Linked DNA regions of Bombyx mori. The protein of the gene in region 1 purifies or fractionates together with the protein of each later gene. This does not show direct contact. Links are inferred from orthologs where the notes say so. Each region holds a gene or a part of one and is shown on either strand. Other genes may lie near its edges. The genes, in order: protein kibra and merlin.

Region 1 (3,829 bases):
GCGTCGCGCCGCGCCACGACAACGCCGCGCTGCCGAACGCCACGCCGCAGCCGCCGCCCACCACTAACGCTCCTCTCACGCCACTGCGTATACAATATTACAGGATTATATTTATGAGCTTTACATTTGAGTCGACTATTATCAAAGCCGGCAATGTGACTTTTGGACAATTATTGGTAAATCAGAAAAACGAATTATTGACTTTGTATTCCATTGGCAGTCACAAAACTCTTCTGAACGACATCTTAGATAAATAACAGGTTAAGTATTAACCTTTATTTAATGCAGGTTTTGAACCGTATTCTTTGAAGGAGACGATTATATTCAAATCAATCTGTATTGACATATCAATAACATTTTTTGTCCAAATGCACAGATTGCCACCTTTGATAATAGACGACTTATATATGTAACACAAAAGTATTGTTTTCGTTTACACAGAAAACATTTTATCTGTGTTTTATAATAAAAATAACTTAAACCGATATGGTGAATACTTAAATCAATTATATTTCGATAATATATTAAATTATTAAACAAATCATTAATGTACCTACTGATAACATCCATCTATCCATACTGGTATAATATAATAAATTCAAAAGTTATGTTGCTTATTCGCTATGTTACTGCTACCGAGATAATTATTTACAAATAATATTTTGTTTAAATTAAATTAAATTAGTGTTGCACTCACACTTCGGTTCCCATGTCGATGAAGAGCGCGTGCAGATTCCGAGCCCTCAGTATGCCGATCTCCAACGCAGTCTCGTCGGGACAGTAACGCAATTTGATCTCAATTTGTGCACTGTTCACTGTAAACACGATTTATTTATTAGATTTTATCTGGTGCATAAGGTGCGAAAAGTGTGGTATTCCAACTAACACTTATATATTACAAATCGATCACGAAGAATATATCCATCGACCTTCGCCTATTGGGATCCCGAAGCAAAGAACCCGAAGCAAAGAAATCATTCATTTCGTTTACGCATTGTTAAGATAATATAGAGACGGAATATCAAAATTTAAATAATAAATATTTAAAAACAAACATTACTACCTAAATCTTTCGTAAATTATTTTAATTTACATTCTACAGATATATTTTTTCGCCCTAGTAGGCAGACGAGCGCACGGTCCACCTGATGGTGAGTGGATACCGTCGCCCATGGACAACAGCAATACAAGGGGCAGAGTCGCGCCGCTGCCTACCAATGAAGAGTGTAATGAATCAGAAGTCGTCGTATATGTTACCGGCGTTGGAAGCGTCGGTGGCCGCTTGCGCCGCTTCGAACACCCCCGAGTCTCCCGCCACTGACTCGTCGCTCACCGCAGCCGAGACTGATCTAGTGTTCGTACCTGCGTAGTAGTAAGCTATTAGTTTAGTGGTGGCCTGATATTCCAACCTAAGCAGACGGCTTTGAGAGGCCATTTCAGCGTAACCCTAACAAATAGGTGAGCTCACGGAGCTCAAACCTGACGTGGTTGCTAACATTAACCCTAGGAAGAGCAGTGCTTCGCAGAATCTACCACCGGATCGGAAACGCGACCCACTGAGAAGATCCGGCGAGAAACTCAGTGGGTTATGTCTATGGGTTTTTTCAGTCAAATGCTCCGGTTTGAAGGGCAGCCGTGGTACTACAGAACCGAAGGTTAGAACACGTGAGTGACCACCTAACACCAGCTAAGTCCAGAGCTTGTTCGTCTAAACTATAAAAAACTATACGCAAATAGCGATTTTAATTTTTTTTTTTCGTTTTTTTTTCAATATCCCGATTAATGTTGAAATTTGTATTATGACGTCATTATTTCTTCACTAGACACTACTTTGGTCAACGAGTATTCCTTATACTAAATATATGCTTTATCAATTTTAATGGTTAATAAAGTTTTTTGTTTGCTATTAAGAAATTGGAAGGGACGATTTTTACATACATAGATTTCGTCTAAGCTTTGGAAAGTTTACTGGAATAAATGAAACTAGTTGTTCCCTTGGTAGTGGAAATTCGACTATAGTTAATTGAAATTATAAGCTTCAACATTATTATGGTTCTATAATATTATCAGACTTATTATATTTCTATAATCACAGATTTCGCCAGTACTATTAAAGACAAACAATATTAATCTATTCTCAATTTGACCACAGACTTTAAACAATAACAAAAGTTTGACAATAAACGAAGAGTATTTAAGTGTGTGTCAAATACATGGCAGTGTGTGTCATGTTTCTTTTATTGATTTAATGGATTTTTTTAGGCATAATGAAAAAAAATATTAACATTCTACACTCCTTCTCTATGTTCTCTATAAGTGTGGGAAATTTCATATTCCTCCGTCTTCGCAATTTTCTTAAAAAGGGATACAAAGTTTTTGCTTCACGTATTAATATAATAGATTAAGCAATAGTGAATATTGGTTTATTTACCACTAGACGAGGGAGTCCTTGGAGACAGGGGTGGCGGGGGGGTCTCCGATATGGGAGACAGCGGCTCACAGGGTCGACCCGGACCTTGGAGTTGTACTGGAACTGAACATATTTAAGGTCAAAATTAATTGATTATGCAATTTCGAAAAGGGCACATCTCTGAAAATATAAAAAGTTCAGGAAATGAAAAAAACTGATTATTTTCTAAAGGAGTGTAAAATTTAAAATATTAACTTTTGAGATATATTTTAGTGTTAATTAGCAATTGAAGATTACTGGAATTATTATAAAATGGGTGTAGGTTAGCCTCAAAACTACATGTATATGAAAAAACCATATGTGACTGGTGGTAGGACCTCTTGTGAGTCCGCACGGGTAGGTATCACCACCCCGCCTATTTCTGCCGTGAAGCAGTAATGCGTTTCGGTTTGAAGGGTGGGATAGCCTTTGTAACTATACTGAGACCTTAGAACTTATATCTCAAGGTGGGTGGCGCATTTACCTTGTAGATGTCTATGAGCTCCAGTAACCACTTAACACCAGGTGGGCTGTGAGCTCGTCCACCCATCTAAGCAATAAAAAAAAATTCATCTTTAAGCTGTTCGTAAGTCAACTTCCGCAAACCCAAAAAACCGTTCGATTCTAAGCAACGAAGCACTCACTTGTAGCCAGGCCGGTGACTTCGTCCAGTCCGGTGGCCACGCCTATCCTCATTTCAGCCAGTTTCTCTTCCAGTTCTCGCTGCTGCCGTCTCTGTCTTTCGACCTAAAGGAGGCGCACAATAAAACCTAATTCTTATCCAGCTGTCCATCGGTGACCTCGCGCGTGAAAGCGAACGCCTGTCTGGTTAGCGAACTGACAGCGCCACGAGCCGAGGCGTGGGTTTCGCACGGATCCGATATAGTGACATGCGTTAGATATATATGTACCGATAACGCGACAAGTGGCCGGTACCGTGTGCTTAGTGCGAGTTTCTTAATGTTTTTTAACGTAGCGGTACTGGTGGTAGGACCTCTTGTTAGTCCGAGCGGGTAGGTACCCACCGCCCTGCCTATTTCTGCCGTGAAACAGTAATGCGTTTCGGTCTGAAGAGTAGAGCAGCCGTTGTAACTATACTGAGATTTTAGAAATTATATCTCAAAGTGGGTGGCGCATTTACGTTGTAGATGTCTATGGGCTCCAGTAACCACTTAACACCAGGTGGGCTGTGAGCTCGTCCACCCATCTAAGCAATAAATATAAAAAAAATCTCGATAGCGTAAAAGTTAAGCCAATTTTGTATGCAGTTGGAACATTCCATTCCATACAAATATAAGCTAACTTTTACGCTATCGAGAACGTTAAAAAACTCGCACTAAACACACTGGTTATTTTTTGCGTCGATTTTTCACGAGTACA
Region 2 (3,829 bases), on another chromosome or scaffold:
GAGGCCTTTCCAGTTTCACCAGGACAGGTGGGCGAGCAAAGGCTTTTTTTTATTGCTTAGATGGGTGGACGAGCTCACAGCCCACCTGGTGTTAAGTGGTTACTGGAGCCCATGGACATCTACAACGTAAATGCGCCACCCACCTTGAGATATAAGTTCTAAGATCTCAGTACAGTTACACGGCTGCCCCACCCTTCAAACCGAAACGCATTACTGCTTCACGGCAGACTATTATACACAGAGTAAAGCACAAAAACTACTACCACCAGTAACTCGACGTCACTTTATTATTAACGAGACCAGCGAAGTTTAACTTCGATAATGTTAATCTTACTTAAACGTCATACCGTTCACAGATCCTCGTAGAAGGCGAGGCGCTGCCCCGTGGAGCCCTGCCGCAGGCGGCGCAGCGTGGAGTACTTGTCGTCGGGGCGCGCGGCGTGCTGCCGGTCCAGCGTGCCGCGCCCCTCCCCGCGCCCCTCGCCCCGCAGCACGCTGAACTCCCCGCGCAGGGACTCCAGCTGGGCTTGGAGGTGCTTCGACTTGGCCAGGTACTCCACCCTGTGGGCACAACGCGGACCTCATGCCTCTACTGCGGACACCGGCGAGCCCCCGAGCGACTTCAAATATTGCGAATGTCTTTATGTGTCCCATATCATCTCATCTCATTTCATTTAATTTCATGCCAGTTGATTGATGTCTCAAATTAATCATTTTCATTTAATTTCACTCCATATTATCATTTTTTCATAAAACTAAGAATATGAATTAAAATAAGATATGACCTAAAGGTCTTAGTTACCAGGTCATAAAATCCCATTAAAAAAAATGTCTTTGTGTGTGTGTAGCCTAGAAGCATTACTTCGCATACTCGGTTCGAACCTCAAGTGACACTGATTAATTCTACTGTTATTTATATAGGGGAATGATATATGTAGGTATACTATAACAGGAAGATCTTCCACCGAGCGGGAGATATTGCTCGGTAGACCGACGATCCCAATGTTGTTGTTCGGAACTTGTATATATATTTTTTTATTGCTTAGTTAGGTGATATTAAGTGGTTACTGGAACCCATAGACATCTACAACGCCAGTCCCACCCTTAAAGCCGAAACGCATTACTGCTTCACGGCTGAAATAGGCAGGGTGGTGGTACCCACCCGCGCGGACTCACAAGAGGTCCTACCACCAGTAGAGATATGCAAGCTTATCTTGAAAATGACTGTCAAATATATTGTGTTCTGTGATGGCTACCCGTCAGAAATATATATATTTTTTATTGATCGCTCTGATGAGGTTCCCGTAGGACAATACCACCACCATAGACAACTATAAAATAAGCTCATACTCAGAGACATATATAGTAACAAACCTCTCCTTTTCGATTTCCAGCGAGAGCCTGTGTATGTGCGGGTCGGAATCGTCGGGCACGAGCTGGTAGGAGTTGAGCTCGGGCTCCGGGGCGCCGGCCGCGCCGTTCTGCAGGCCTTCGCCCCCCAGCTCGGCGGGCAGCGAGCACGTGGACGGGAACAGGCTGCACGGGACCGTCGGCGACGCCGGAAATTGCTGCGTCAATATAGAAACACCGTTATATACCTCGACACATTTAATAAAAAATATCTATACTAATATATAAATCTACAGTAGTTTTTACGGATATTCCGTTATAACTACTGAACCATGCATCCGATTGACTTGAAACTTGGTATCCATGTAGAAAATACATGTACTTAATGGATAGGCTAATATTTATAAGAGTCTTGGACTCCCTACACCAGTTGGGGGGACGTTAAATGATGAGAATCTTTGTGAGGGTGAGAAATAATAATGTCAATTTTAAATGCCCAGCGAAGCGGACGGGTACAGCTAGTATTGAATAAAGACAATCTAATAATTACTCGATTGGTATCGTGATACGGTTTTCAAACTAAACTAACTTTGTCTTAAAAATGAAAAATAAAACTCTTAAAGGAAGTAGATTAAGCCGATTTGCAAAAGCCTAAGGAAATATTGATATACGTTATATTTCGCTGATGTGACGGTAGTCGAAGATTTAAATTGAAAATGCGTTATTCCACGACCTACAGATTGAAAGCGCCCGTCAACCTTACACAAGGAGTCCGCGTCTGCAAACTGTAGACAAGGTTACCTGCGGCAAGGATCCGGTCGACGTCCTGCTGAGGAAGTTGAGGAGTTTCTCTTTGGCTTGTTTCTCCGCCACTCTGGCGGTCAGCAGTTCCGCCTTCAGTCTCTCGGCTTCGGCGGCCCTTTTCTCCGACTCCTCGACCAGCCGCGCCGTCAGGTACTCCGCCTCGCGGGTCTTGCGTTCCAAGTGTACCTGTTCGCAGACCAGGGTGCTATATAACAAGTATTTTTTTCTCCCTACCTAATCTATGGTAGCCTAAGAAGCTACTTAATAACGTAAGAACAACGTAAATTAGACGCTCTATCTATGTTCTCGCTCTGGCCCTTCTTAAATTGTATATTTTTTCTATGGACGTAGCAAATCTATCGCGGGTTAAATTTTACTCTGAATGCGCCTAAAGAAGTTTAACTTCTATAATTCACTTTATTCGTTTGTAGTTTTGTTTGTCGCGGTCCTTTAGACTAATTTCTAGACGAATTTATTTAAAGCAATATTATTGTAAAACCAGTAGGATAAATGAAGAAAACCACAATACTACACACCGCAAAAGAAGTTTCACTTCTTTCACGGGCATCAAGTTGCATGCGCATTTATTATTACAAAATAAATATCGGATGTTGAATTTTTTTAGATTATGACATTCGTAATACTTAGATACAATAAAACCAGATCGTCGCGAGATCGAGGGATTAAAAAACAAGCCATTATGAACTTTAACTGTGTCGTAATAAACGTACCTTTTCCTCTTCAGTCTTGATGGCAGACAGCCTAAGTCTAGCGTTCTCTCGTTCAGCGTCCGCCGCCTTCTGCGCGAGTAGAGACGCTTCTTCCTCTGCTACTCTACCTTTCTCAGCTAATAGTTCTGCCGTCTCCTCGGACCGGCGCTGGATGAGAAGGTATTGCATTTTAAAACATCTTGCTCCGTGAATATATTTTTTATGGGATTTTATGACCTGGTTTAAGTCGTCCTGGTCTAATGGATAAGACCGGACGGTGCATTCGTGTTGTGCGATGCACTGGTGTTTCAATCTCAGGCGGGTACCAATTTTTCTAATGAAATACGTACTCAACAAATGTTCACGATTGACTTCCACGCTGAAGGTTTTTTATTTTTTTTTTATTGCTTAGATGTGTGGACGAGCTCACAGCCCACCTGGTGTTAAGTGGTTACTGGAGCCCATAGACATCTACAACGTAAATGCGCCACCCACCTTGAGATATAGTTCTAAGGTCTCAGTATAGTCACAATGGCTGCCCCACCCTTCAAACCGAAACGCATTACTGCGTCACGGCAAAAATAGGACCTCTTGTGAGTCCGCACGGGTAGGTACCACCGCCCCGCCTATTTCTGCCGTGAAGCAGTAATGCGTTTCGGTTTGAAGGGCGGGGCAGCCGTTGTAACTATATTTGAGACCTTAGAACTTATATCTCAAGGTGGGTGGCGCATTTACGTTGTGGATGTCTATGGGCTCCAGTAACCACTTAACACCAGGTGGGCTGTGAGCTCGTCGACCCATCTAAGCAATAAAAAAAAATGTGGTTTCTGAAATTTACATAATCTTTCATTAAACAAAATATAGGATAGGTAATATGTTACTGCCATCTACAGGAGAAATGGGAAACTAATCGAAGCGAAGCCACCTAGTGGCCGACGCCCGTAAACATTTTTGTTGAGTGTTTG

Evidence for each region.
Region 2: the proteins of protein kibra (region 1) and merlin purify together in Drosophila melanogaster (affinity purification with western blotting; 3 studies listed by BioGRID). This does not show direct contact. The link is inferred for Bombyx mori from reciprocal best matches to the Drosophila melanogaster genes kibra and Mer.

What each region holds. Positions count from the first base shown.
Region 1 is NC_085120.1:6,101,965-6,105,793, reverse strand, and holds part of protein kibra, read right to left. Parts: intron 3,197-3,829; coding exon 3,094-3,196; intron 2,534-3,093; coding exon 2,432-2,533; intron 1,363-2,431; coding exon 1,258-1,362; intron 816-1,257; coding exon 698-815; intron 84-697; coding exon 1-83. UniProt on the Drosophila melanogaster protein: Regulator of the Hippo/SWH (Sav/Wts/Hpo) signaling pathway, a signaling pathway that plays a pivotal role in organ size control and tumor suppression by restricting proliferation and promoting apoptosis.
Region 2 is NC_085122.1:2,596,613-2,600,441, forward strand, and holds part of merlin, read right to left. Parts: intron 3,033-3,829; coding exon 2,886-3,032; intron 2,341-2,885; coding exon 2,152-2,340; intron 1,569-2,151; coding exon 1,375-1,568; intron 562-1,374; coding exon 351-561; 3' UTR 348-350; intron 1-347. UniProt on the Drosophila melanogaster protein: Regulator of the Hippo/SWH (Sav/Wts/Hpo) signaling pathway, a signaling pathway that plays a pivotal role in organ size control and tumor suppression by restricting proliferation and promoting apoptosis.